Linked DNA regions of Rhinolophus ferrumequinum. The protein of the gene in region 3 interacts with the protein of the main gene of each other region in a pairwise test. Links are inferred from orthologs where the notes say so. Each region holds a gene or a part of one and is shown on either strand. Other genes may lie near its edges. The genes, in order: ARFGAP1, DLK1, GRN and PRKAB2.

Region 1 (7,098 bases), on a different chromosome or scaffold from region 3:
CTACGAAACACAGCTTCAGAGAAGAGAAGTTCTGTTAAGCTGCCTGGCATCGACAGGGCGAGGCCGCCGTCACCGCAGGCAGCGCTGGGGACCGCTGACGGAGGAAGGCTGTTCTCCACACCCCGAGAGCACCAAGAGCAGGTGGACGTTCCCAGGCCAAGGGCAATGCAACCATGCGGGGCAACATGGGTGTCCCCTTTGCTTAAGCATCACGCACCCCACAACTGCATAAGTTAGAGGGAGTCCTGTCCTCTAAAAAACTTTATTCACAGCAAGGATGGTCATTACTAAAACACACACAGATTGATTAGCCCCTAAAGGGCGACACACAGGCCTGGGCTGACAGCCTTCCAAGACAGGCAGCCACGTTCCCTGCACTGCACACCTGTCCTCCCATCCCTGCTGCGCTGTGGGGGGTGGCCCTGACGGACATGTGAGGAGCATGAAGAAAATGGCTGGCAGGAGGGAGAGAGGTGACAGATGGCCACAGTAGGGCAGATCTACCCCCACGCCTCACAGGGACACTGCTGGGCAACGGCAGTCACACAGCTTGGCCTGAAAAAGCCACTTATTTCTTTACATATGTCTCCTTGCTTTCGGAAAATTCAACCTCAACCTGTGGCCCACTGAATTCATGACCAGGAAAACCAAAATAAAAGATTCCAGCAGGAGGAAGGGGGTGGGAGCCAAGCACCATGTGGGCATCACCGCGGGTCGGGCCTGGGTTTCAGGCCACCTCTACCACCTCCAGCCCACAACCGGGTTTGTGGCCTTTCTGAAGTTTGCCCTTCACTCGACTGCGAATGGAATCTGTGAGCTGTGCCCTGTAACTCACATGGCACCACACGTCCTCTCGAGAACACTAGTCAGAGCTGTGTTCCTGCACTGCTGCCATCCCACACCACCACCTCTCTACCACTTCCCTGCTGCGCGGAAGGGAACTGCTCACACCGGCTTTCCTATCAGTGGTGCAGCTGGAGCTTCACGCTGAGGGGCGGGTAAAAACTAAAGGCAGCTCCGTCCTCTACTTCACCTTCAATCATAGGGACGCAGAAACACGTGATTCATTAAGGGATCCCGACTGTGCACACAACCAAGCCTAAACCTGGAGCCCAGGACTCGAATGTCCCTCAGTGCCCACTTCGAAGCCAGATGAAGTTAAGAAATAAACGTTTGTTTTCTGTATTTGATGGAAACAAACCAGAGCTCAACTGCGGCTCCTTTCTGCCCAGGAGTTCTCTGCACCGCATGTGATGGTCCCCAGAAACCCCCCGACCTCAGGGGCAAACGTGTGAATGCACCGTCCTGCCCAGCATGGCCGTTGGCCATGCCACCACTCTGGTGGAATGCTGTCACTCCACTGAGCGTGTATTCTTCCAAAGCACGAAAGGCAGAAGTGGGCAAACACACACATGGCGAGATGTCCTGGGGGGTGAGAATTTACAAAGCCCTTTGAACACACTGGTGTCACGGTAGCCACAGGAGCCCCTTGCGGGCATGTGTGTGGGGCTGACACGCACACCTGCCCGATACAGGTCTCTACACCTGGCTTCATAGAGCTGTGCCTGCCCTCAGAGGCTGACGTTTGGCCAACAGGACACAGGCACACAGAAGTCAGCACTGGGGTGAGCCTGCTCTGCATTTCTCAGCGTGGAAAACAGCAGAGTGAACATCTGCAGAACCACTACAGAGAAAAATATGTGAAAAGTGAATGACTTAGCTTGGATTTAAAAGGACACCCCCCTCCCCGCCCTCAGTCACTGGTTTTGGATGTCAGAATCGTCGAGTTCTCTGAAATGCTGTTTAATACAAGCAGCTCCTAACTTTCAAAAGTTTAAATATTGATTCATCTTGAAAAATGATCTAAAAACTCCTGTCTTAACACTTGAAAGCAAGATGGCACAATGTAGCTTTTTCTGCAAGGGGATATAACTTCAGCCAATGTTGGACTAAGTGAGGACACTCTGTCCTAGTTCATTAAGTAATCCACTTGTCAGGCTGCAGACTGTTTGGTCTTTCTCAACATCTGAGATTAGAAGAGATGACTAAAGCGCACTGCTCAGTCCCCAGGGCCGTTATACAGGTGACAGGCAGAAACAGGAGTCACCTTTCTCAGAAACCGAACGAGGCATCCAAAGCACTTGTCTCTAAGAACAACCCTTTCTCACACTAATAAGAGTATTTCTGAACTTCCTGGCGGTGTGGCCCTGGAAAGGGATGCCAAAACGAACCCAAGAGCCAGCTATTCCCGGGCCATTATTGCAGCCCCGTCGGGCACTGTCATAAACACAGGACACGGAATATTAGAGCCGCACAATTATTTCTCAAAATCGGTGGTTTGCCATGAAGTTGTTTAACAGGCCAGACAAAAAGCATATAGTCCTTCCACGTAAATCCACGTAAACGGAAAATGTGTAAGTCCTTTCCTGGTTTCTTCTCCCTCCCTCGAGACAATCACCCACCGCAAAGGGCGAGGAAAGGGAACGAAAGCACGCTGAGGCTGCCCTTTCCGGTGAGACGGACCCCTGCCCGCCCCCGCCCCCGCCCCCACACCTGCGGGAGGAACCCTCGCTTCTTAGGGCTGGAAGGCCCTTCATAGTCGGCCTGACCGGACCCTGTGTCCAGGCCAGGTGCTGGGTCCGAGGGAGGGGACAGGGCCGGGGCCGGCTCGGCCCACGCGGGGGGATGATGGGCAGGATGATGTGACTGGTGGAGAATTCCAGATGCTGAGGTGGGGGAGTGGGGGCAGCTCCAGAGGAGAAGGGTGGCCGGCTGAGGACGCGCGTAGGGTGGGGGCGTCCGCCGGGCCGGGCCGGCGGGCGGGCGGGCGCCAGGGGCCTCAGGCCGCGCGCTTACCTGGTGGGCGGGCTCGATCCTGCGCGCCGGGTCGGCCGTGTTCCGGAGGCTCGGGCGGGGTCCGGGCCAGGGTCGCGCAGCTCGCAGCACGGAGGACTCTAGCCCGCCGCCCACCCCGCCGCCACCAGCTTCCGGCTACGTTGCGCCTCCCAGGGCATCACGGGAAGCCGGGGGCTGCTGGCAGGGGCGGGACTTCCGCTCTGCAGGCCGGACCGGAAGCACCGCCCCCCCGTCGCCATGGGGACGCGTCCCGGCGCCGCGCAGCTGCCAGGTTGGCCCAGACGCCGACCGGGGCAGGAGGCCGGTGCTGACGGCCCTGGGGCCGGACTCCGGGTCCTCTTCGCGTCGCTTCGCCTCGTCGTGGTCGGCCCTGCGGATCCCCAATGCTGCTGCGCGGGGCTGGGTTAGCGACTGTGTCAGAACTGGAGGCCTGGGGACCGCCGGCCATCCTTAACGTGGACACGGAAGTGCGTCCACGCGCATCCTCAGGGTCTGTTCGAGAAACTGACGGCCTGTTCAAATTAGGATGATTCGAGGATGGTTTGTTTACACGGGAACTAGTTAGGAAGGTGTGCGTGGCTTTCGGGAAACCACAGGAATTCTGCCGGAGCAGCAGGGCTGTGACGTCAGGAGGCTCCGAGGGACGTGCGGAGGGAGGGGGCCGGTACCCAGGAAGGAGAGAGTCTTTAGGGCCTCTGCCCAGAGGAGCTGTCATCTTTGTCTGAGGGCATCTCCAGCCCACGGTGACCAGAAGGAGAAGCCACAAGAATAAGTACCTGGCCTCTCTGACCTCTCACCCTCCGCTCTCCCTATTTGCCTCCTGTTGGCGGAGCCCATTGGTGTCGTCGGGGGTGGAGAGGGTGGGGGGTGGGTATGGAGCGCAGCTGCAGAGAGAGAGAGAGAGAGAAATGAGGGGGTGGGGAGAGAGAGAAGGAACACATCACACAGGCGGGGCAATCCGGCTGTAAAGCAGTGTGAATAGCAGGATCCCAAACATGGGGAAATGACTGTACAAAGAGAATTGTTGAAAGTGATCTCTGAGGGGTATAATTGCAAGTGGTTGTCAGTTATTCCTTTGTGCTTTTCTGTATTCCACATACTTTTAGGGATCTGTGTAACTTGGGATGGTCCAGTATAAACATTTTTACGTTCCATAACTTGTACAGCTCAGAGAGTTTGGACAAACGCATGCCCAGTGTACCTCCACAACAATCAGCTACAGAACGTTTCCATCGGAGGCAACCACTGTTCTCATGTCTAGCCTCATACCTCAGTTTTGTCTGTTCTAGAACGTCACATAAATAAGACATGCGATATGTACTTAGGATGTCCTTCGGTTAACGTGATGGTTTTAAGATCCACCCATGTGGGTGTGTGCCTCTATTCTCAGTATTTCATATAAATGGAATCGTACAACATGTGACCTTTGGTGTCTGACTGTCACTCAGCATCATGTTTCCAGGGTTCATCCACATTGTAGCACGAATCAGTGCCTCATTCCTTTTTATTCCATTAAATGAAAATACCATTTCATTTATCCATTCATACAATGGTCACTGGACTCATTTCTAAGTTTTGGCTATTATGAATAAAGCTGCCCTGAAATCCATGTACATGTCTTTTTGTGGACATACTTTTTGTGTCTGTCACTTAATTACTTAGAAGTAAAATTGCTGGGTGATGGGGTAGGTGTGTGTTGAACCTTATAAGCAACTGACAGCCTTCCAAAATGCTTGTATTATTCTGTATTTCCACCAGCAGTCTGAGGGTTCCAGTCGCTCCACATCTTTGTCAACACTTGGTGTTGTCAGTCTTTTTATTGCAGCCAGTCTCGTGGGTACCAAGTGGTATCTCATTGCAGTTTAATCTGCCTTCTCTCCATCACTGGTTGAGTGACGCCCTGAGTGCTTACCTTACTCCTCAGCACTTCCAGCCTGCCCTGGGCCCAGCTGAGCATAAGCACCCTCCTGCGTCCGGGGCCACCCCACGGGAAGAGTCACCAGTTCCTGCAATAAGAAGCCACTGGCACTCACAGAAATGGCGAGGGCTGAGATGGTTTGGACGAAGCACCAATAGGGTCTACACAGGCGGTAATATGAGACAACACAGATGTCGGTGTAGATTTCAGATCCTGTGGTTGTGCCTGTGTAGGCTCCACGGGTTCAGAAAGTGAGAGGCAAGTGCTGGATCAGTTAGTTACAGTGGGCTTCCTGGAGGAGGCAGGCTGAGAAGGATGAGGTGTTGAGAAGGAGAAGAGGAAAAGGGAAGGCATTCCTGGAAAGGGCACATTTGGCACCGACTACACCAAACAAGCAATGGAGGCTGGATTTCCAGTTTTCTGATCAGTTTTCTAAAAAGTCAACCTTCCACCCACCCCAGGCTATGGGAGGGCTGGGGCTATGTTCACCTCCAGAGCCAAGACTAGAGGGGTGGCCCTTCCAAGGACATGGCGAGCCCACTGCTTCAGAGCCTGTGCGGCAGCCTCTGCCTCGCTCTGTGGTCTCAGGCTCAATCAGTGACCACGTGACAGAGAAGATGAGACACTCACGCACAAGGGCAGAGTGTGGGCCATGCAGCGAGAGGGCGGGCAAGCATACTGAAAGCATTTTATTACTCCATCAAAACACGGAGATCATTTGTTTTACTCTCAGAACTGCCAGCAGCCCATTACTTTTCAGTTATATGTAATGTGATCATCTTGGTGGTTTCCTCCCCAGGGATCCCGAAGTTCTCAATGTGATTAAAACAGAAGGGAATTCACGGGCAGCAAAATGAAAGCCTCAGTGTCAATGGTTGCACAGAGCTGGAGGGCTCCTGGCATTAGCCGGGCCTCACAAGAGGAACAGGAACGAAGCCACTGCCAGCCAGGCATGAGAGCAGGTGGTCTGTGAAGTCGCTGTGGGGCCTGGGCAAAAGCGTTACTTTTTCCCGGACTCAGTTTCCACATCTGTGAAAGGAGGTCTCCAACTCCCCTTTCAGGCCAGGGGCCACATGTCCTGAGCACTTGCCAAAAGTCAGTCCCTGGGCTCGATAAGGACGACCTCCTTTAAGCCACACAGCAAACCTGTGTACTCTTTCTGAGACGAACCCACTGTTCAAGGGAAGACACTGGGGCCCACAGCAATGAAGTAATTTGCCCAAGGTCAAAAAGCTAGTAAGTATGGAGCCAAGGTTTGCACCCAGCTTCTGCTCCATCCTCAGAGCAGGAAGGCGAGTGGACTTCGGGCCTGGTGGGGTGGCCCATCCTGCCCTCTGATCCGAAACCCAGCCCCAGTCTCAGAGGCAGAACCACGGTGGTTTGTTTCCAAACTTGTGCAAGTAACAGAGAAATTGGTTGTGGGGCTGTGAGCGCTGGTTGTCAGTGGCCCCGTGGGGGCCCTACAGCCTGGTCAGCAGGTCTAGGGGGTCCACCAGCTCTGGTAGGGGTGGCAGAGCCTGAAGAAACAGTTGGGGCCACACAGGGCTGGACCTGCCAGTCTGGTTTTCCCACGTCAACATACAGACTGTGGCACTTTTTACACCCTGCTCCAAGGAACTCTTCTTCCCTTGTCAGCCTTCAGCCTGCAGGTGCACATTGTAATTTCTCTAACTGCGCCTTCCGTTGTCATCACTGTTACCATTCTTGCTACTATGTTGCCTCACCCCCAGGTTGTGCAATGATCTCTCTGTGCTCAAGTGCTTCATGGCGTAGGCCCCCAGAAGTGGAAGCTCTGGGTGAATTCTGGCAGATCCTCCCAAATTGTCCCCAAGGCCTTGGTCCCAAAGCACTGATGTGAGCGTGGCTCTTCTTACGACTTCTGCCAGGCCGGGCATCATCAAGCTGCTTGTCTTTGCCATGCCAGCAGCACGTGTGAGTTTTCATTTTCTTAATGGTGGCGGGGCCAGGCACAGGTGTACTAGGCAGCGTCCATCCCCTCCTGATTCCTGTTTGTCCTCTGCCCGTTTGTGTCTTCTGTTGATCACCTTCCACTGCAGGTCCTTCCTGAAACAGCATTGCCCCACATCTGGAGACCAGAGCATGGGCTTGGTTCGGGTCTGCCCAGCTGAGATGCCCACCTCCTGGCCCCTGGCATGCTGAGTGCTCAGACACAGCCCCACGTAGAGAGGGCCTGCTGGCCCCTCTGCTGCTGCCTCTGACTGATGCACAGGGAGAATGGGAGACTGTGACAGAAGGAAATGACAAATGGGAGGAGGCTGGGACGTGTGACCCTGCTCATTTGAGAGGCTGTGTGCCCTACAGCA
Region 2 (7,938 bases), on a different chromosome or scaffold from region 3:
ACATCCACGTCGATTCCAGTGGCAAGGAAGGAAGCGAGCAAATCTATTTTTGAATCCTACCATCGATGATGAGAAATTGGTTTTGTTTGGGGGCGGGGTGCGACCCCTCGGAAGTCAACACTATATATGGTCCCAAACCAATGCGCTGCTGCCTCACCTCGTTCTCGCTTTCTTCTGTTGTTCCCTCCCCGGAGCTTGTGGCTGGGCCTGGGGGAGCCGTTCTTTCTCCGTCACTTGCAGACCTGCGTCGGAGGCTTGGGGACACAGCAGGCCTGGGCTGTCACGCGCCTCTCCAGGCCCCGCGCACGAGGCCAGGAGCCGAGTGTGCGCCTCCGCCGCCACGTTCTCCCGCAGGAGCCGCTGAGCACGTCACTTCAGGCTGAAGAGGCTTCTCTCTGATTGAACTTGAAAGCAAACCTTCGTGTTCTTGAGCCTAAATGTACCCGGGTGCACCCCTCGTTTCCCTCTCTTCTCCGCCCTAAGACCCCTCTCCTCCGCAAAAGAAAAAATAAAAAGCAAAAATTTCTCTCCAAAGGTGAACATTAGCTGGGGAAAAGAACTGGCATCGTGGCAGCTGTACATCTCTTAGGTGTTAGCGTGAATCTCACAGCCCCTAAGAGGGCCGCTCTGAGCCCCCCCATCGAGGCGGGCGCTACCCTTCGGGCCTTTCCACTCTCCTCCCTGCCCTGCTCACTTTTAAGCTAGGCTTGGCTGAGCAGACAGCTTGATGCTTGGGTTCCCAGTAGACTGGGGTTTGAACTCCAGTTGTGCTCCTCATTAGCTGCACCCTTGTCTCGGGGTCTTCAAGCCTCAATGTGCTCATCTCTGAAATGGGCCTTGCAATCCCCACCTAGCCCAGCTGTGAGGAGGCCCTGAGGAGATGGCCCCTGCTGTGGGACTAACCTGGAATCTAAATCCAAGGGGCAGTCAGGAGAGGCAGAAAAGACAGCCCCCACTCTCTTATTAACCCATAACCTAGGGACTGTGGCCTCATGGCAGGGAGATCCCTGCCCCAGTGTCTCTAGGAAATTTCAGTTCCAGGGCTCTGATCAGGCCGCATGAGTCTTCGGGCGCTGGTCCTGCCCAGTTCCAGGAGGCGTCCTGCATGTCAGGCAGGGCCAGGGGAGCTGAGTACTCTCTTGGAGGGAGGATGGAGCAGGGAGGAGGAGGAGGGAACGAATGCACCTGTGACTCCTTGCTGGGCCTGTTTCCCCGACTGTGTGACACCCCACTAGGACTGGTCCAGTGGGGGTGCCGTTACCTCCAAAACCATGACCCAGTCTTGGCAGAAACAAAGCCTGGGGCTTGGAGACTCTCAACTGGTCGTGGGGGTGCAGAGCAGGATGTCAAAGAGGAGTTGAGACCTCCCCCAGCTGCCCTGCCCCACGGGTGCACGCCCAGGGAAAGCTGGTCTCTGGGGCCCCTCCAGCTGGACCCTGCTGGGCTTCCCTGCTCAGCATCAGAAGTGGTCTTGTGCAGGCTGGGGGTGGTGTATGTGTTTGGAGAAGGGGAGGGAAAGGGACTGGAGATAACATTTCTTTGGTTCTCTCAGAAAACTTTCACCCATCACCAGCTCCTTTGCTGTCCAACCAGCTGGGCTCTGGGCAGAAGGAACAGAGGACACTTTCTGGCTGCTGGTGGGGCTGGGGCCTCAGGCAGAGCCTGAGGAGGGAAGGAGACCTGCGGAAGCCCAGGCCTGAATTCCAATCCAGCCCCATGGTTGGCAGGCCTAGTCCCTGCTACCTGTGTAGACCACCTGCCATGCCATGTTGTGTGGTGGGTGGGGGCTGCCTGCCTCCTCTGGGATCCCAGAGGTTTGTACTTTGGAGAGGAGAGGAGGGGAGTGCAGCAAAGGGGAGGAGAGGGGAGAAGAGGGGAGGGGGGGAATACACAGAGAGAGGAGCGGCTGTCCTGACTTCTCCAGCCCCGCACTCCCCAGCCCCCAGGGTCTGCTAGCAAACAGCATACGGTGCTGACTTCTCCCCAAGGTACCTGATTGGTATTTTCATGCTTTCTGTGCAGCCTTGAAGTCTGTGACAGTCACCAACCTCCCCTCCCCATGGCTTCTAAGCTACGCTCTCTCTTGGCTGCTTGCTGAAAAGAAATCTCTAGTCTCCTGAATTTACAAACGCTTTCTTGACACTAGAGCAAACCAACTAGAAAGCTCCAGCTTACAGGTCCTGCCAGAAGGAAGACACCCTCCCCTCAGCAGCCCTGCAGGGGGCTCTGGAAGGCTTCTGCCCCCTCCTTCAGCTCTCTCTGGCTGACTGGCGGAGGCTGGTAGCAGCTGTTGGAGAAAGGGCAGGAAGGGGCCAGGCCTTGTAAGTACAGTGGTTTTCTACTTATGAAAACCGAGTTTCCTTTGGGGACAGGTGTGGCATCCCTGTTTATACACACGGAAACTGGGCTCAGGGGGAAATGACTGGCCCAGGACCCTCAGCACTCAGGGGATGGAGCTGGGATTAGCAAGCAGGTGCCAGCCAGCCCTTTCAGCCTAGCCTGTGACATTGGGTCAGAGACGCCCTGGGGTGAGACTGCCCTCCCCAGGCCTCTCCCTTTCCAAAACTGGGCAAGGCGGTGGTGGGAAGTGACTCAGCTGGGCAAAGGAGGGGTTCAGGGGGGGCACCGATGGCCCCCCGGCCCTCCCTTGGTGCCCGTGCACTCCACACCACACCTCATGACTTGGTCTGAAGGGGGGTGGTCACCCTGGGCCGCTTAGCCCTGAGATCCCCTGCTCCTCCTTAGTGTCTGGCTGAGAATCCAGCCCTTCCCGACCTGCCGGCCACACTGTGTAGGATAATTTTGGAGGCTGAGGTCAGGGTCCTTGAAGGGAAGAGAGGAGGAGAGTGAAGGAAGCTATGGCGATCACCATACAGTGGACACTTGGACCTCCAGGCCTGGGCCTGTCTGCCATTCTCATTGTAGTCTGGGGCCTTGGGCAAAAGGCCTTCCTTCTCTGGACTCAGTTTTTTCACCTAAGAAGAGTCCGTGGAAGAGGGGCGGGCGGGGGGTGGGGGGGGTAACGGAAAGGCATCGGGTGGGCTCCCAGTCGGGGACAGCCACTGGGACTGCTCCCTCCAGCCATCACCAAATCCATTCGCAACATCCCCCTCTCTTTCTGGGTCTTCTGCAGGGAACACCAGGGAAGGGTGCCTTCCCCAAGGGGGTGGGCACTTCCCTCCAGCCTCCCCGGAGCCAGCCTGGAACAGCTCCAGTCTCCACCCCAGTCATGTGCCTTCCGGAGTCCAGAGGTAGGGCCTTAGGGCCAGGCGCCTGGAGGCTCTCCCTGGCCTAACTTCCCACACTATCCCCAGGTCGGCAAGTGTGACCTCAAACCTTCCAGGGCCCGTGGGATGGCCCAAAGGTCAAGGCCCCCAATCCAGGTTCAAAGTTGCAGAGCTTCCCACCACCACCACCAGCACAGTGGGAAAGGGGAGACCATGAAATGGGTGAACACCCACTCCCTGCACCTGGGAGCATCTATATGCAAACTAATCTATGCAAATGAAGCATACACAAATGACCGCTCTAAAGGTCCTGACCTCCTGGTACTCATCCCCAGGAGGTTAAACACCTTTAATCACCTTTAATCACCTTTCACCAACCCCCACTACTGCCTAGCAGCTCCTTCCAGCAGTTTCCTGAACCTCCCACATCAGGACCTGGGTGTGGGAGGCTGCCCAGAAGCGTGTAGGCTCTACGGCCCAGGCTGGGGCTTCCCCCAGGAGCTCTTTGGAGGGTGGGGGGTTCCCTCAGGGCCAGCATCCGCACTGCACACCCTTGCCACCTCTGGATGGAGGCCTCCCTGTGGGTCTGGAATCTGTGGGGAGTGCGTGGTGTGCCTCTTTGCGTGGGAGAGGGACCATACTACTTGTGAGCTTGCCCACACATGTCAGTGATGGATGTGATTCTGCGTGTTTGTGTGTCGGGGGACTGTTTAAGTGTGTTTTGATGAGCGTATAACCGAGAGCCTGCGGTTTGTAAGTCCTGGGGACTGTGTGTGTGCTTGTGAACATGAGATGTGTGGTTGTGCGTGTGAGAGCCGCGGTTTGTTACACACGACGAAGGCCCTGACGGTGTGTGCCGGCGTGTGCGGGGAGTTTGTGAGCCCACATGTGCTCGGGCATCTGTATGTTGACAAGTGTGTTCGCATGTTCAGGTGGCACGCGGCTCTCCACGTGCCTCTGTGTGGATGGCCTGGTACATGTTGAAAGATGCCCAGGGTTTCATAACTGCGTGTGCGCTGGCCTCTGTGCGCGCCCATGACTGAGCAGGTAGCACTCCCCACTCTTTCTATAACGTGCTTTTGTGTTGCAGTGTGTGTTTGTGTCGTAGGATGTGTCTGGGTCGCTGGATGTGTGTGGCTACAAGTGTGTGCGTTTTTCCTGCGTTTTTATGGCTAGGGGTCTGCATGCATAAGGGTTTCACGAGTGGTTTTCTGGGTGCGTGTGTGATTACGTGCGGATTCTACGTCTTCAGAGTGTGCATGTGTGGTTTTCTGGGTGTGCGAACCATGGCATGTGTGCTCGGGACCTTGGCGACAAGTGTTTGGATGTTTCTGTGCGTGTTTCTGTATTCCGAGCGTGTCCTTGCGCCGTCCTGGGGTCTGCGGCCCAGCCCAGGTTCAGTTCATGCGACTTGTGCTAAGCGGGCCCGACTGTGCGCGCCCGTGTGCCGTCCTGTGTGGGGACCGTGTGCTCAACGCGCGCGGGGTACCTGTGCCCGTCTAGCCAAGAGTGCGCCGCGTGCGCGAGCGGGTTTCCGGGACACTGCAGTGGTGGGGGGTGGCCCTGCGAGGGGCGGGGGTCACCGGGACTGGCCGGCGCCGGCCCCGTGCGCGCGGAGGCGGGGGCGGGGGGCGGGGGCCGCGGGGGGGCCGCGGTACGAAAAGGGCGGCGCGCGCGGCGGCGGCAGCAGCTCGGCGGCGGCGGCATTGGAGAGCGCAGCGCGCAGCCCGGTGCAGCCCTGGCTTTCCCCTCGCCGCGCGCCCGCGCCCCCTTTCGCGTCCGCAACCAGAAGCCCAGCGCGGCGCCCGGAGCCGGACCCGCGCCCGCGCCGCTCCCGGGACCGCGACCCCGGCCGCCCCGAGATGACCGCGACCGCAGTCCTCCTGCCCGTCCTCTTGCTCCTGCTGGCCTTCGGCCACAGTGCCCATGGTGAGCCCCTCGGCGGCCCGGCTCGCGCCCCCTCTGGGGAAGCCTGCGACGCCCCCCTGGCCGCCTGGTGACCTGCGCGCCCCGTCCCATGCGCCCCAATCCGGCCCGTCCCACCTAACCCTAAGCCCTGCGCTGTGCTCGCCTCACCTTCCCCGCCACCCTTGCATGCCAAGCCCGGCCCTGGGAGTCCCGGGGGCAGCAGAGGTGTGGGATCCCCAGCCCCTTCCCGCCCCGCAGAAGTGGCGCTCGGAGGGGTGTCGGTGCGCTGAGACAGGAGGTATGGAGAAAGGAGGTGATGCTGGGAGTCCTGTGAAAATGCTTTGGGGTGCAACTTTAGGGTGTTCATGTGTGCGCGTTTGGGAACAGGTCTTTGGGGACAGTGGGGGGTGACTTTGCCTAGTAGTCCCATATTCCCAACCAGGAGCCCAGCCCAAGCTTCTCTGTGTGACGTTTCTCTAGGTGAGGGGCTGCGACACTTCTGTCTGCAGTGGCCATCTGTCTCTGACAGCCAGAGAATTGCCCCCTTCCTGCAGTGGCCCCCGTCCCCACTGCACCATTGGTTATGGGGGGGCTGTCTAGAAAGCTGGACAGCAGGTTGAAGTAAATGCACACAGTAGGCACCTCTTGAAGTGTCAGAATCTTTAAATAGTGTCAGAACTGCAGTCAGCTCTGCAAAACCTTTGCGTGTTTTTAAAATACGAAGTGCGGGGTAAGGGACGTTGGGGAATTTGACCTGGGTGTCTGGCTTAGCTGGGATGAACCTTTAAAAAACATCCAGACACCTTACCTGTGAGCCTCCAGGTGAACCTGTCGGGCTTCCTCAGAGATGAATACCTGGAAATCTGCTCCCCTTTAACTCACGTAACATAAGTGAGGGTTTGGCTGAGTGCCCAGGGGTCAAAATCTTTTCATCCACTGTTTCCTCATCCCTAATTTTAAGACTCAGGGGTTTGTATTTTGTTTGGGGGGAAAACAAGGTGTCTGACCTGCTTCTGAGAACTAGGCAGTGTACTGTGGTCACTCCATAACCAGGAACGTGGCAGAGAATTTTCCTGAGTGGGTTGATATGAAGTGCCTACTGTGTGACAGGCTGGTAGGACTGCAGAGGGTAGTGGGCTCTCTTGAGGGAGGCCTTGGGCTTTGCTTTGGCCTCTGGGGCCTTGTGGGGTGAATGGTGTAACCTTTTTTGTGCCTCAGGAGCTGAATGCTTCCCGGCCTGCCACCCCCAAAATGGATTCTGCGAGGATGACAATGTTTGCAGGTAATGGAGCGGCTCCCCAGAGGTAGCTTGTAGGGGGCCAGGGCAGAATCCTGGGGAGTCACAGTGTCAGGCAGAAAAGAGGGGGCGTTTGGTCTGGGCTGCAACAGCTTCCTCACCCCCACAGCAAACTGCTGGAGACAGTAAGGGGAGAAAGGACAGAGGATTGTTGGGGGGACGGGCACAGCTCCCGTCTGCTTTCTCAGAAGTGGGGTGTCAGGAGAGCCCTTGCAGGATGAGACCACTGCAAGCCATTGCGGCAAAACGCAGCATTATCCTGGGCTCTCAGGGACCCCTCTGTCTGCTCCTCAGTTGGTCCTCTGTTTAAGCTTTTCCATTCAGGTGACTGTTGTTTGCTTCCTGGGACTCACTGGCCCAGCCCTGTGCAAAGACCCCATGGGCCCTTGGTTCCACAGAAAGCAGCCTGAGCTCCCTCTTCACCCCTACCCCCCCTCATATGTTCCCATCTTTTTCCCCTCCCCCCCATGCAGGTGCCAGCCTGGCTGGCAGGGTCCCCTCTGTGACCAATGCATGACCTTTCCTGGCTGTGTTAACGGACTCTGCGTGGAACCCTGGCAGTGCATTTGCGACGATGGCTGGGACGGGAACCTCTGCGACATAGGTTGGCACATGCTCTGCCTTTGCCCACCCCCAGCTCTGCCCTCTGGCCCCAGCCCCAGCCCTCCTCCCCCCAGCCCCGTGGCTGCCTCCCCTCCAACCTTATTCCAACACACACTGGGTGCATCCTGTGTGGTAATGACCTGTTTATACACTTCCCGCTGGTGATTGGAGCCTCCTCACAGGTAGGGACATAATTTTGCTCCCCTCTGCACCACTGGCACCCAGCACCCACCCGGCACCTGAGAAGGCACTGGGAGGGGTGGCAGGGAGCTGCCTGTTGAATAAAGAGTCACAAAATAAACACATTCCACACAAAGCTGAGAGGATGGAGCACACAGACCCGGATAACCTGTCCAGGTTACTGCAGCTCAAGGAGGGGAAAGGAGAGCCGGAGGTGGGGTGGGGGTCACAGAGCAAAGACTCCAACAGATTCACACGCAAGATTGTTAAGGAGGCTGCAGCAAGCAAACAACAAATAAATGGGGGCGGGAGGGGTCTGTCAGTGCCGAGTGGTGGGTAGGAGGAGCTGAGCCAGGGCCACGAGGACCGGGCGGGGGGCTGTGATGAAGAGCTCAGGGCCAGGGGAGGCTGGGGGCTGGGAAAGGCTGAGAAGTGGTTAAAGTGCGGTTTGGTGTTAGCTGTTGATTTCATTAATTTATGCAATCTTTGTCCTCCTTTACCCTGAGCAATTGAGAGTTGGCTGTCGCTGCATTTTCAGGCTGCAAATGTTCATCCGAGCCCATTCTCATTTGGCAAAACCTGCCTGGAAGCCCAGGCAGACTGAAGTCCTCGAAAAAACTCCAGCAGCCTAGGCAGTGCTGCAGGGTCCCTGACCCTCAGTCCCCAACATTAGCGGAGATGAGTGGTCCCAGTAGGGAAACTGAGGCTCAGAGAAGCGGAAGG
Region 3 (7,281 bases):
TAGCCAGGAGAGCAGTGGGCATCGATCTGGCAGGGCCTGCCCAGACGCCTGCTCAGCACTGTGGGCCATTTGTCCTGGAAAGTGAGGAGAGGATAAATGGGAGGACCAGAGTCTGGTCCCCTCCTGTGGCCCGTTCCAGATGACCCTTTGGGAAATCCCAGCTGCCAGCTTTTGCCTAGGCTGAGGGTACTCACTAGAACGGGATTGCAGCAGCTGTAGCTGGCTCCTCCAGGGTCCAGGCAACAGGCCACAGGGCAGAGCTGTCCATCTGGGCACTGCTTTCCAGCCACCAGCCCTGCCACTAAGGCCACCCAGATCACCAGGGTCCACATGGTCCACCTGCAGAATATCAAGAGGCATTTGGCAACTAGCTTAGTCCCTGCCATCCCTGATTCTGGGGCCAGTCTCCTCCCAGGCCCAGGACTACGTGAGCCTCCCCACAACAACTTGTCCAGAGAGGAAGCAAGTTGTAGTTTCTGAGATTCAGTTTCCTACATGTGTCCTGCATGCGTGTCACACCTGCACCAGCGCATGTACACCCATGAGCATGAATGCTGACATGAGTACATATGAATCTGTGTCCCCAACATGGTCCAGCACTTGAGTCTCTGGGTGAGTGTGTAGACATGTGGGCATGTGAGAATCAGGAAGATTTGTGGCTTTTGTGGGTCTGATCTGTGGGAAATGAGGCCACCTCTGGGGGGGAGGGGAGGCCATCAGTAGCCATGGGAAGATGTAGCTGGGGTGCAGGGAGGGAGTACCGTCCTGAAGAAAAGTCAGGGTTCCACTTACCCAGCGAGCCCCTCCAGATGCCTCCTCATCTGATACTGTGCTCACACCTGCACTCTGCAAAGGCCTATTGGTGAGAGGTCACATGATGACATGGTAAACCACGGGGTTGTGAAAGTTGTGAAAAGGGAAGTGATGTGGCCAGTGGAGTCTAGGCTGCCTCTCCCAGAGGCCAGCCACAGCCTACCCACTGACTGTCCTGTCCTTACCCAGGGAAAGGGACACACAGGCTGGGTCGCACAGCCTTTAAGACGCCTGTGTTCTAATGGTCCCCCAACACCACCAGGCCCTTTTAGACGCCCAGCGTACCATACCCCTGCCTCGGCCTCTCTCCCTACCCTAGAGTTGAAACTCTGCTGCACAGGGAGAGAAACCACGAGTGCCCACCCAGCTGCTGCTCTGAGTCAGTAGAAAGAACTAGCCACGGTCTGTGGGAGGGGAGAGGTGGGGAGCGTGCAGCCTCTTGCTTCCTACACAACTCTTCCCCCATGATCAGCCAGCCCTGCTAGTTCAGTGGGGCAGGCCTGGGAGACATTACCCTCCCTGCCTAGAGGGGCAAAAACAGCAATGTTTGCTGAGCTTTTCAGGAGCCAGTTTAAACACTCTATATTTTCTTTCTTCTTTGCAACCACCAACCAAAGTAGTATTATTACCTTTACTTTTCAAAGGAGGAAACTGAGGCTCAGAGATGTTAAGCAATACACCAATTTTATATATCAAGTCATGGAGACAACAGGCTTTGACAGCTCCAGGGCATATTGGAACTGGGTTCATTTCACATGTGGCACTATGGACAGTGCATGGGAATGAACAAACCCTGGGAGGATAGAGGCCTGGGGTCCAAGCAGAGAAGGGGGACAGAAGTATTTCCTGGACAGGACAGAAATGGGAAGCACATGGGCTGCCTGGATACTGCACTTGGGTCCTAGACCTACAATTGCCACTGATTGTGAGTGCCTCAAAGTTTGCTCCCTGTCTCCGTGCCTCAGTTCCCACTGAGTGTGCATGGACAGTGCAAGCGCACTGCGTGGCAGGGCGTCACACACACAGTCGCTCACATCCTCTTTCCCTCACCTGCCCTCCCTCAGAGTCCCCTCCCTAGCACAAAGACCATTCCCAGGAGGCCACCTTCCGCCAGGTAAGGATGAAGAAGGCTGGCTCTAGACCTTGGTCCCTTTCAACTTCTCGGGGCCCACAGCTCCCAGGCATCTACAGCTGGCCCCACCCACTTCTTGGCTTAGGCCAGAAGGAGTGCCTGTCGGTACAGATCTCAGACTATTCAGCACCCTAGTTATTTATTTATGTTTATTTTCCTTTTGGGGTATCCTGAGGTTAGGGAGTATAGTGTACGCATCTACTGAACACACATGCGCACACACTCAGGACCAGGGATGGGGGAGGAGAGGGCCCAGTTCCTCTCAGGAGTGTTCTGAGCTATGGCCTCTCTCACCCCACGCCATCCACACGGCCACACCAGCGAGGGACAGGAGCCTCTTCAAGCCCCCAGCTCTGTCATCTTCCACTAGATGGCATCCCCCAACGCTGAGTGCCAGGAGGAGAGAGAGATTCCCAAAAGGTGAAACAATCCAACTACCAATGAGCAGGAAAACGTGGCTGGGAGAGGCGGAAGTTAGCTTGTCCCACCCTCAAGAGAGGAAGTAAGGGAGAGCCAGACACAACCCTCCCAAGTCCCTACTACCTTTGAGAAGGCCTGAGTCTCAAGTCTAAATCCCAGCCGTCTGAGCTCCTGGCCAGGGTGGGCGCCTCTCCCTCTACCAGACGCCGTGGGCACTACCCACCACCAGCAGCAGCACCAGCACCAGCTGATGGGGGGCGGAGGTCTTCAAGAACGGAGTGGTCCCTGCTTTGGGAAAAGGGGCTGCAGCTTCCGGGATGCTGGGATGTAGAGGGAGATTGCCCTTTTCTAAGGGGGTCACTGCCATTACTGCTTACTCCCACCCTTCATAAAACTCCCTCCCATACATCGCAAACCCCCAAAGGAGATTCTCTAAATGAATCTTCTGCCTCCCAGCTAAAACTCCAGAGGAACATCAAGTCCCCACGACCCCATGGCCAGGCCCTTGAAGAAGCAAGGGAGAGGTCTGCGCAGCCGACCTCCTTACCTGTGTCCCGTTTGGCGCTCGCTGGGTAGCAGCCACCCCACAGCTCCAGGACTTGGGCCTCGCAGCGCGATGGCCCGCCCACCTCAGTTTCCATTGGCCAGATGTCCGGGCTGTCGTCCTCCCATTCGCTACTTGTCGACGTAGGGGCCGGGCCATCCTGGAGTGCTGTGTTTTTGTACTCAGTACACTCACCTCCCAGCCTGACTCTCCCACCCTCCATTTCTAGGGATCATGTGATCGGAGAATCATGTGATGCCCTGGCTTGCTCAACCCGGCTTCGGGACCGGCCTCGCAGCCTCCTGCGGCCGCCTAGTAGAGTTTGCTGGAGACCGGGCAGCGTCTGTCTGGAGATATTGACAGCCAGGGGAGCTGCCCCTTCAAGGGTGCGTTCAAGGGCATTTAAAGGATGTCCGCTTCTGCATTTGGGACATTTGTGCGTCCTGTTTCTATTCTATTCAACAAATTCAGATTAAACTTTGAGGTTGAAGGAGAGTTGTAAGGGTACCAGGATAAACAGCCCTCCGGCCCTTTCCTCAAGGTGCTCACAGCGGAGGATGGGGTGGAGAAGGGAGACAGACTCAGATTAAATCTAATTTAAGGTACAACGTCGTGTGCCAAATGCTGTAGATGGGTATAGGGAAGAAGTAGTAGGTTAGCTCTAGGTGGGAAGAAGAGATTTAATCCTACCTTGGGGGCAAATTTTTGAACTGAGTCTGGAAGGATTTTAACGTAGGTCGGAAGAGCTTGAAGAAATGGCTAGACAGGGGAAGCTGGGAAGAGCACTAGGAAACCAGATGGAAAGGGCAGCCTTGGGCAGGGATTGAATGCCAAGTTCAATGGAGTAGGCTTGAGGAGTTGCTGGGCGCCTGGCCCAAGGCTGGGCAGGGGATGAGTGCATAGTGGAAATGGCTTACTAGTTTCAGATGGTGCTGCCTTCCAGGAATTGACATGGCCGGTGAGGAGAGAAAACGTACTACATAGAATGGATTAGCCAGCAACAGAGCCAGACTGCTCAGTGTCAAAGGGCCTGGTCCAGGCAGAGATGGGTGATGGGAGATGCACCAGGAGAGAGGAGAGGCCCAGAGAAAACCTGGTGCTGGGACTTGGAGGAAGGAATGGAGAGTGCTGCAGACTAGGGAAAGAGCTTGAGCTGAGTGTGAGGCTGGGATAGGAGCCAAATAGGAGTCTGGGTATGGAAGCATGGCAGGGTTGAGGAATTCTGTGGCAGCACTGCTCAGCTTCATGTTAGAGAGGGTCCAGACAGTGAGTAAGGCTCCTGCTGAGAATCTGGGACTATTCTGCACATTGGTACATTTGTGCATATTTTCCTTCCTGTGTATCCTGAGGCAAGGGGGTATAGCTTATGCTTCTATTGATAAAGTACATGCATGCACACACAATTTTTATGAAATGTTAGGCAAATCAATAAAGTAACCTATTAATCACAACTATACAGAACCAGAAGGAAAAAAAGACTAGAGTGACTAAAACAAGTCAGCCCTCTGTATCTGTGGGTTCCACATTCATGGGGTCAACCAACCAGGGATCAAAAATATTTGGAAAAAAAGGTTACATTGTTGCTGATGTGTACTATATCGTTAGGCCTATGATGGTTGCGTCTCTATTGAACATTTTTCTCTTGTTATTATTCCCTAAACAATACAGTATGGAACTATTTACATAGCATTTACATTGTATTAGGTATTATAAGTAATCTAGAGATGGTTTAAAGTGTGCAGGATGTGGACAGGTTATGTACAAAAACTGCCATTTTATATAAGGGACTTGAACATCCATGAATTTTGGTATCCATGGGGGGTTCTGGAACTTACCTCCTGCTTATACCAAGGGATGACTATATCACAAAATCTGTAAGGAAGTGATTTTCCCCACCAGGGACATTTGGCAGTGTGTGGGTACATTCTAGGTTGTCACAACGGGGGGGAAGTGCTATTGGCATCTAGTGCATAGAGACCAGGGATGCTGCTAACCATCCTACAAAGCGGAGGACAGACCTCACAACAGAGATTATTTTGCCCCAAATGTTGGCAGCGTAGAGGTTGAGAAACAGTCTCTAAAGGATCATAAACTTTCTCCGTGAAAGAGCTCAAAGTTTTCCTCACATAGAGCCTCTTTTCTCTTATTTCATGTATTTTAAATAAATGTTGTCATCTGACTTCCCAGCATCAAGATTATAGAAAGATCAGGGGATGTGTGCATGCTGTAGTTTCTAGAAGGAGTAACTTTGAGTTTCGCAAGGATTAAAAATGTTCAACAGGAAAAATTGCAAAAAGCAGACTGAAGAACTTCGAAGCCCAACATCCTAGGGACATTGCGTCTAGGGATAAACAGTCTTGGATGACTTAATGGGCCATATGGACATCACTCTTAAAGGACAGTAGTTAGTAGTCAAGGTATGAGCCTGAGCATTCACAGAAATTTGAATCATAGGCAGTTACTCTGATTGTTACAGCAAAGAAATGTAAAACATATTTATTAAATAGCTTGTCAAAATGAATGCAGTGAACCTCCACTTCAACGGAGAGGGTACAGTGGAGAGACATCAAGGACTGCAGAACTTCTCCCATATTCCTCAAAAAACACTCCAGTGCCCTTATGCCTTCCAATTCAGGAATCTCTCTCCCTCTGTCTTTCAACTTTAAGTAGAGAGGATCATTCTGTGAACAGGGAAGACGGAAAAGAAGCAAATTTCCAGAATCACAAAGTGATTTTACATAGAATAATCCATCCCCATTTGCCCCATTCCCTGACCTTCCCAGAGGCCTTTGGCTAGGCCTTGTTATTTTTAATTTTGATAAAATTAATTGACTATAAATGTGAGGGTTTATTTCCAGACTCTCAATTCTATTCCATTGATCTATATGCCTGTCCTTATGCCATTCATTATCACTGTCTTGATTACCATTGTTTTATAGCAAGTTTTGAAATCTTCAACTTCTGGGAAGTGGGAGTTCTTCAACTTCTGTTTAAGATTGTTTTGGCTTTTCTCAAATTTCTATGTGAATTTTAGGATCAGTTTCTGCAAAGAAGACAGCTGAGATTTTGATAAGGAACGCACTGAATCTGTAGATTAATTTGGGGTGTATTGCCGTCTTACTAAGTCTTCCTATCCATGAACATGGGATGTCTTTCCATTTATTTATTGGTTTCTTTTTTGACAGTTGCCAAGTATTCCACACTATAGATGTTACATAATTTACTTAACCATTCTCATTTAATAGACTTTCACGTTTCCAATTTTTTGCAGTTACAAATAATTATGCAATGAATATTTGTGAACATGTCTCTGAGTGCATATGTGGGGGTTAAATTCCTAAAAGTAACATTGCTGGGTACAGGGTATACACATTTGAAATGTTAATTACAAATTGCCTTAAAATTTTTCCACTTTACATTCTTAGTCACAGTATTTAGGGAAACTTATTTTCCATAATCTCATCAACATTGGATACACCACTTAAAATTTTTTTTGCCTATCTTATGACAGAAGGTATTTTCGGGTTGTTTTATCTGCATCTCCTTGACATCAGGGAAGCTGAGTATTTGTGCATATGCTTATGCTGTATATGTATTTCTTCTGTGAATTACCTGTTCTTAACTGTATTAGTCAGGGTTCTCCAGAGAAACAAAACGAATTGCTGTGTATATAGAAAGAGATCTATTAAAAAAAATTGGCTCACCTGATTATGGAAGCTAGTAAGTCCAAAACATGCAGTGTGAGCCAGCAGGCTGGAGACTCAGGAGAGTGAATGATGCAGATGAAATCCTAAGGTAGTCGCTAGAGAATTTCCTCTTGCTTGGAGAGGCCAGTCTTTTTGTTCTATGAAGGCCTTCAACTGATTGGAGATGGCCCACCCACATTGTGGTGGGCAATTCACTTTACCAACAATTTACCAATTTAAATATTAATCTTATCCATAAACACCCACCAAGTTGACAGATAAAACTATCTTATCATCCTTTGTTCATTTTTCTATAGTGTTTATATTTTTTTTGTTGAATTGTGAGAAGTCTTCATATATTCTAGATATTACCTATCTTGCAGATATTTCCTCCAATCTGTCATTTGTATTTTATCTTTGATTATGATAACTTTTGTGGTCAGAAGTTGTGTTATTGTTACATCATCTGAAATCTAGCAATCAATCTCTTCCCTCATGACTTCTGCCTTCTCCGCTTGCTTAAGCAATTTTAAATATGTTCTTCCTAGCTGCAGCCCCAGCTGGACTGGACCTCGGAGGCCAGCCCTTTGCTGGATTGAGGCACCAAAGTGACAGGAGGTCCCACTCAGGAGCCTGGCACGGAGAGGCCCCTGGATGTGTCTCTCTGGCTAAGTGGTTCATCCAGG
Region 4 (7,488 bases), on a different chromosome or scaffold from region 3:
ACTTCAGTACACTGTTTTCCTGGTTTGAAACATGGAAAATGTTTCCTTTTATCCATAAAGTGTTTAAGCAAATTTCAGGTGATTTTAATGTGCAAATTGGACTGGGAACAGAAGAAGGTGGCCCCACTGCCAGTTACTTTTATGATTTAGGATTTCCGGTTTAGAATTTGAAAGCTACAAACTATTAATATGCCTAGTTTGGAAGAAAGCCCTTCCACATGTGACATTTCTGTGGTCGGCATGCGGGCAGATGACTAGCAGAAAGGCTGTTTATGTCAAGTTAAATAGTCAGCAAAATCATTCGGAAAAGAGAAAATTCGAACTACAGTTTGAGATGTTTAAGTGAAACATTGATATTGAAGTAAAGACAGTAGGAAGGTTGAGAACTGTAAAATTTTAGATTTGGAAGAGACCTTAGGAACAATCAGAAATAGTTTTCTGATTTCACAAATGGCAAGACTGAGGTAAGGCAAAGAATCATCCCAAATAGGTTCCATTTCCAATAAAGCAATCTGGCTTGTATTCAGTACACCACTTACTGCAGTCACAGTTTGACAAATACACTGTCCTTAAATCCTGAGTCATCAGTGTAGGAAAAGGGGGAAAATGCAGTGAGGGAGGTCACCTTGAGAAAGCCCTGAAGAAGTACTGGGTGGGTGGACAGCCCTCATGATGAGGAAGACGTCCTGAAGTGGGAGGAGAAAGGAAGGGAGAAGAAACCCCAAGAAATGGTCCTTTTGATCACTCTCACTTCTGATTATGTTCTCAGTCGAGATCCAAGAAAATAAACAACCAAATTCCATGAGCTGCCAACGTGGCAAATCATGCTCCATTTACTTCGTGGGAAGGCATAGGGGACATCAAACATACTCGTCTCCTCAATCTCTCCGTTTTTCTAATTCATCCCAGTCAGCCTTAACGTACTTAATGCTGTAGCTCTAAAAGTGATAAGAAAAGCATTTGGGTGGTAATCACAGTGCTGTCAGCTCAGTTTGCCCTTTCTACAGAGTGCCCACAAGTTGCCACTCCGCTCAGAGTCCTTGGACGCCAGCACAAGGTCTTTGGGGCAGCGTGGGTTGTCCCGCTTTCAGCCCTGGTGACATACTGAGGTACTACTGGCTACTGGAGAAATCCTGGAATGATTTGTTCTGCCACTTGAGCAGCTGGGCACGAAAGAAGCACAACCTCAGCACCACAGCTATAAAGTATGGGACAAAAACTGAGCAGCGATGTCCTTTATGGATGTACAAGACTAGGAGGAAGTATTCAAATAAGCAAGTGATTGTTCCTCACAGTCAAGACCAAGGTGAAGACGGTCAGAAGTGCTGAGCTCCTACAAGGGCAAAAATGATACTGACACAGAGAGAAAAAAGAACCTCATTTACCCACCTCAGGGCAAATGTGAGAAACCACCAGCTATGGGCGGCAACTCAGGAAACCTCTAAAGTTTTCCGGCAGCGCTGACACTACAAATTCATCAGTACGGTAGAAGAGGGCACCGTGCCTGTCAGGAGAACCAAAGATTGGGAGGCGAGGTGGGGGGCTGGCATCCTGCTATCCTCTTAAAAATGTGTCCAACAGATTAATCGGCAAACAAGAACCCCGCTTCCGCCCTATTTTGAGGCAGTACCGCGAGAGGAATTACCATCCAACATCTCCGTCCCCCCCAAATCCCTTTAATTCAAAAAGTCATCACCCAGATCAGCGTGGTAAGAATTAAGAAAGTGAGGAGGCGCCCTGACGCCCCGCCCACTGCAGCATCGCCACCCACGGGGGGCGAAGGGACGCCCACCTTGGAGTCCTGCAGACTGAAGACGCTGGGGTCGTCCGTGCTGCCCACCATGATCTTGTGCTCCTTGCCCGGGCCATGGCCGCCGGTGCCCTCAGCGCGTGCTGCCTTGGCGCCGTGGCGCTCCCCGGCCACCCGGTCGCTGGTGGTGTTTCCCATGGCTGCAGCTCGTGTCGGGGGCCACCTGCCGTGGGGAAAAGCACCGTGCGAGGAACACCCCTGCGGCCACGTCAGGGGCGCGCGCAGCCCCACCCCTGCGCCTGGGGACACGGGCAACGGAATCCCCGCCGCAGGGAAGCCGTGCCCGTGGGTGCCCTCCCTCCCCGGCCTCCAGGAGCGCCCCGAACCCCCTCCCTGCCCGCTGCTCAGGAAACCCGCTTTCGGGAACTCCCCTGCATCCCAGCGCTCACGCCCCCACCCCATCACCTCCTGAGACGCGCTCCCTCCTCCCCGGGCCACAGGCGCGATGGATGCTCTGCGGCTAAGGCCACCAATAAAGTTATTGAAATTGAAGCCACGCGCGGAGCTAGGGAGCCGGGTTTCCTCCTAAAATGGCTACAAGGCCGGCTGTGCGGTCCCGCCCCGCGCGCCTTCCCTGCGGCCCCGCCGCGCAGCTGCCCGGCCCGCCGGCCTCTCTAGCCGCCGCCGCCTCCATGGTAGGCGGTCGTGGGCGGCCTTCCGTGCTCGGCGGGGGCTCCCGCCCGTCCGCTGGGGACTGGCTGCACCCGGACAGCCCGCCCGGCGACACTGCACCGGGCAACGTCAGTGCGCGGAGCTCCCGGGCCTGCCGCGCGGATCACACGGTTCCCGAATGACATTGGGGACCGCCAGCCAGGCACCGGTGCTCTGTACCCCGAGGAGCGGGGTTTTCTTCTCGGGCCCCCTCACCTGGGCTCAGCTTCGCCAAAACATTTTCTGGACAGCGTCTTTGTGGCAGTCGCCCCGGAGAGGTGGTGTCCGGGGGGGATAGGAAAACGGACTTTCCACTGACGCAGAAGGATTGGTCCAGGCTAAAATTAAGTGGTGTAGGGAGCTGTCAGCCGCGACTGGGGCCCCAGGGAAGATGGAGTGGTTACGAAATAAACCTTGATAAATTAGTAAAATGTTACTCTGAAGAGGAGAAAGCTATTCTAAGAAATGGCATATCAATTAACGAACCCGGAAGAAATGAAATTCAAGAAAGAGTGCAGGAACAAAAACATCAGAAGGAACTCTGAGGGCAGAAAAGGGGGAAGACAGACCTGGGTTTGGGACAAATCCCAGCTTTTACTGATGATTAATGGAACTTTACCAGTTAGTGGCATTTACCAATTCTTACTTTGTGTTACGATTCTATGTCTCATTCCCTCCACGAAATCCTTGGCACTCAACGTGTGTTTCAGGGACTGGCAGCACAGGCATCACCTGGGAACTTGTTAGAAGTGCAAAACCTGGCCCCATCCTACAGAATAAGAATCTGCACTTTACAAGGTCCTCAGAGGAAGGTGTGTGCCTGGTAAAGTGTAAGAAGCACTGCGTTGACACTGGCAGAGAGGACTCCATTTGATTCCTCTTCGTATTCTGTATGCACCTTGGACAGAGTGAACTTTAATACACATTTGCGGACTGAAGGGTACGTGAATACTGATTATTATATTTCTCACAAGAATGCCACTTAGGCTTAAACACAGCCGGTGATGGCGAACTCCATCAAAGCCACCCTTCCGGAATGAGCCACTCTATTTATTGAAAAGTTCATTATTATATTAAGTTGAAAACCCACCCACTTAAGTCCAACAAATCCACTCCTTCCCCTTTGATCTATGCTCAGCCCCAAATAAACTGTTGTTTTCTGGCTCTTAACCAAAGACAGTTTGCAGACTAAAAACAGAATCTTGACTGTCTGGTTACTTCCTTTTGGTGAACTCCCTGCCCTCCCCAATTCCTGTCATTCTTTCCATAGGACTCTGAATCAAGGCCTTTGAAGGAATAACACATTAAACCTTAACTAATGTACTATTCAGCTTTCTAACTCCAGGTTGGTCTCTCCGGGCCAAATAATATGTCTCTGGTACATATTTCCTTACAGTAGTCAAATCACCAGGGGAGAAGCATACACAATATATATTAGCCAATGGAAAACTTGTTAGGAAGAGAAACTATTTTTGTAAAACTAAATAGAAATGATTTTTGGATTATCTGATTTGGGGGTGGGAAACAAAAAACTTTCATGGCCAATAGCTTTTCTGAAAGAAACCGTTTATTGAACCAGATGCCAGCCAGAAAAGGACAGGGTCCTGGTGCGCGCTGTCTGCACCAGCAGCGGCAGGGCTACGCACTTCTGGCATTGACGGATCCTTCATATCTCGGGTTTAGAAAACAAAGACGAAAGTTGTTTTGAAAGAATTGGCACTGGCTATGGATAAAGGGCGTGTGGAAAAAGTGAAGAGGGCCTAGTTCTGGGATAGGTGCATAGTCTGTAAGGAAGAAGCGTTTGTTCTTGAGGACCGGTTGTGGGCAACAGTCTGGAAAGGTCATGCATAGCAAGGTAATGGAGGCACTGGTGGTCACTTGTGCTGGTGGCGGGCTACTGGCTCTTCTCTTTAGATAATTGTGCAATAGCTACCTGGAAGTTAACTCAGAGTTGTAACATTCATTCAGGAATGCGAGCAAGTCTTACGATGATTTTCCCCGCAGTTGTTAACTGATTAACCTCTCTTGTCTCTTTCTTCTACCCTCGGGCCTGCTATAATTTAATTTAGGACTTCTCAGAGTGTTCATTTTCTAGTCAGGGGATTGTCGATGACATTCTTGGACTCTAATAGCACTTGGAAGTCAGTCCACAGTAAACTCTGCGTGTTGCATGTTTAGACATAGGACACAAGTAACTTGATTCTGTAGGAAGGATTGATTGCTTCTCCTTACTACCTACCGAGTTTTTGGGTTTTTTCCTTAAACATAGGAGTGTCTAGGCAAAGAAGCAAGATCTCTTAACCAATGGCATATAATGGTTTCCTTTGCTGTGCAGAACCTTTTTAGTTTGATGTAGTCCCACTTGTTTATTTTTGCTTTTGTTGGCCTTTGTTTTTGGTGTCAAATCCAAAAAATCATCACCAAGACTGATGTCAAGGAATTTATCCCCAATGTTTTCTTCTAGGAGTTTTATGCTTTCAGGTCTTAGATTCGTCTTTAATCCATTTTGAATGAAAAGCTGGGATTTCATTGTAGGGAAAAGAGAAAAGAGGATTAATGCGTTGGAAAGAGAAATAAAAGTAGATTTCTGGGCAATGTGAAGCTAAGAGTTGTCCTGGAGGCATCTCTCGATCCAGCTCCCCAAAGAAAACCGGGGCAACGACAGTGGAACTGCTAAAAATAGGTTATAATTATGGCAAAAAAAACCACAGCGAGCATGAACCAGGCCATCGTTAATGCTGAAATCATGGAACCACTGCTCTTAACTTGTCTGGTCATCATAGGCTTCCTGATACGCTCGTCTATGGTGAGGATGGCTTTTCGGGCTCCATCCCACTTTCCCGGGCCCTGTAGACGATACTGGATTGGAGTGTAGGGTCCCAATAATAACTGTAATGCCAGCTTGGGGTCGGTGAAGGCCAGAGACAGCAGGTTGGGTCTGACGCCCACCAGATCAGCAAGTTCCACCGTGGTATCTATAAAGTCTGTCTGAATGGTGTGGCGTTGGCTCTCCAAATACCTGAAGCAGACAAGACAGGAGCCGTGGCTGTCAACAGTCAGTCAGTCAATCAATCAATCAATCAATCTAGCAGTGCTTTCTGAGTACCTGTTATTGGATCAATATTAGACTAGGAGCCTATGGAAAATAGAGAAGAAAATAAGACTTTGTCCTTTATGACTTTGTAATCTATCGGAGGAAATAGGATAGATACAAATGAAACAGAAGAATATATGACTTTTGGCAAATCATGTGGTTTCAGACTGTTAAATAGAAATGTAGAAGAGGGTAGTTAAAAGAGAGCTTGAAGGATGTGGAAGATATAGATAAACTGAGAACAAAGAGGAATATGTCACAAGTCAGGGGACCATCAGAGTGAAGGAATAAAATAGGAATGAGTGTAAAAATTGCGTATAGAATATCTGTAGGCACCACCTACAGTAGCAGAGGCGTGCTGTGGAAAACAAGGATATATACAGAGACGCAAGGACAGCAGATCCATATCCAGAGGACTTGGATATTATCAGAACGAGAGAACCCACCACAAAATTCTGAAGTTTGGGACCCTCAATTGTTTTATGAGGGCAGTGGTGGTGGGGTCCACAGTGCAGGACTTCCCAATGTTAATTCAGAATCTGGAAAGGAGGGGGTGAGAATGACTTACCCCCCTCCCAATGGAGCCAAATGGAATGACTGATGACACTAAGTATAGATCTGAAGAGCTAACAGGGCTTTTTAGAGGGGAAGAGTGGTAATAGCAATACTTGTGTGGAAGGAGTGGGATTCGGAAAGCTACCTGATAACCTCCTCGTTTTCCTTTCTATTCTGAAAATGAAAGAAAGAACAGCGGGACAGAAAGGTAGTAAGAGGAAAGCCAGGTCAAGTTAATTGAGATTAGAAGGGCTTCCTCGGATTAGGAGAATCCAAAACAGACAGGAAAAGGTGAGCGACTGTAAATTTGAGGTAGAACAGGTGAAATGGAACTGAAAGAAGGTCAAAGAGGAATTTATTGAAATGGAACTACAGTTTAGAAGAAAGAAGATAGGACAGAATTTGAGAGCTCCCCCTTGTGGATGTGATGCCGGCCCAAAGGTTGGTAGGCATGCAGTTACCCTATGGTACTGGGTGAAACGCTGTCCCCGTCATGAAGGTGTCACAAAGATTCAATAAACTCACACGTATAAAACGTTATGTGTAAGTACATAATTAACCCTTCATAAAGGCTCAATGATATCCTTAGGGACAGCTCAGTCTGAAGGTGGCTAGACAAACGTCTGAAGAGAGGGAAAGTTGAAATAGGGTATTTCATTGCCAGGAAAGCAAAGAAAGAAAGCATTCCAGAAGAGAGTGGTTGCAGGAGCAAGGACGGAAGTTACAGTGCAGGGAGCTTAGGAGGGAGAAAAGGCTGAGACTTTAGAGCATATCAGGTAGAATATGGATGCAGAAGTTCGGCAGTGGAAGGAAGGAAAAACTAGGAGAGCACCTGGCAAGGATATCAGGGTGGAATAAAAACGCTCTCCTCCTCCGAGGCAGGGGACAGTTGCGCCAGTACAATCAATTGAAGAAAACCACCTCTCTGAACCTGCAATGATCCTGCCTCTGACTTGCCCACAAAGGTTTAGGCACCTGCCATTAGCTCCCACTTTGTCTAAAGAAAAGTCACCCAGTGAAGTTCAGATGCTAAATGACTGTGTCACCCAAGCACTAAGCACTCGGCGACGTACCACCTTCCCTGATCATGCAGGCTGTTCATACCATGAGGCACTGTGACCTGAGCATGCTGTCCCCTGGCGACAGCCTGCCCAGTGGCCTCTGCAGATTTGTAAATCTACTTGCGGTTTGGAATTCGACCATGTCTGCGCGCAGTAGTTCATTGCCGCTCTTCCTTCTTGTGGCAGCTCTACTAGCACTTGAAGCAATCCTTGCAAAAACAATATACCTGATTTTCTCCCCATGTGCGTTTTCCTACAGGACTTTTCTTTCAGGCCCTAAACATAGGATTTTAAACACTTTTCTTCAGCTTGTCTCT

The links.
Region 1: the proteins of GRN (region 3) and ARFGAP1 interact in binary tests that used the Homo sapiens proteins (3 or more experiments, as listed by UniProt). The two-hybrid records come from large-scale screens. The link is inferred for Rhinolophus ferrumequinum from reciprocal best matches to the Homo sapiens genes GRN and ARFGAP1.
Region 2: the proteins of GRN (region 3) and DLK1 interact in binary tests that used the Homo sapiens proteins (3 or more experiments, as listed by UniProt). The link is inferred for Rhinolophus ferrumequinum from reciprocal best matches to the Homo sapiens genes GRN and DLK1.
Region 4: the proteins of GRN (region 3) and PRKAB2 interact in binary tests that used the Homo sapiens proteins (3 or more experiments, as listed by UniProt). The link is inferred for Rhinolophus ferrumequinum from reciprocal best matches to the Homo sapiens genes GRN and PRKAB2.

The regions. Positions count from the first base shown.
Region 1 is NC_046306.1:655,947-663,044, forward strand, and holds the start of ARFGAP1 (ADP-ribosylation factor GTPase-activating protein 1), read right to left. Parts: upstream 3,001-7,098; 5' UTR 2,857-3,000; intron 1-2,856. UniProt on the Homo sapiens protein: GTPase-activating protein (GAP) for the ADP ribosylation factor 1 (ARF1). Involved in membrane trafficking and /or vesicle transport.
Region 2 is NC_046289.1:3,794,106-3,802,043, reverse strand, and holds the start of DLK1 (protein delta homolog 1), read left to right. Parts: upstream 1-4,921; 5' UTR 4,922-5,089; coding exon 5,090-5,156; intron 5,157-6,353; coding exon 6,354-6,417; intron 6,418-6,905; coding exon 6,906-7,036; intron 7,037-7,938. UniProt on the Homo sapiens protein: May have a role in neuroendocrine differentiation.
Region 3 is NC_046304.1:39,390,778-39,398,058, reverse strand, and holds the start of GRN (progranulin), read right to left. Parts: upstream 3,010-7,281; 5' UTR 2,913-3,009; intron 2,651-2,912; exon of another isoform or gene 2,489-2,650; intron 857-2,488; 5' UTR 822-856; coding exon 793-821; intron 340-792; coding exon 195-339; intron 75-194; coding exon 1-74. UniProt on the Homo sapiens protein: Secreted protein that acts as a key regulator of lysosomal function and as a growth factor involved in inflammation, wound healing and cell proliferation. Regulates protein trafficking to lysosomes, and also the activity of lysosomal enzymes.
Region 4 is NC_046305.1:49,426,669-49,434,156, forward strand, and holds the start of PRKAB2 (5'-AMP-activated protein kinase subunit beta-2), read right to left. Parts: upstream 3,014-7,488; 5' UTR 2,678-3,013; intron 2,346-2,677; exon of another isoform or gene 2,216-2,345; intron 1,974-2,215; 5' UTR 1,949-1,973; coding exon 1,793-1,948; intron 1-1,792. UniProt on the Homo sapiens protein: Non-catalytic subunit of AMP-activated protein kinase (AMPK), an energy sensor protein kinase that plays a key role in regulating cellular energy metabolism.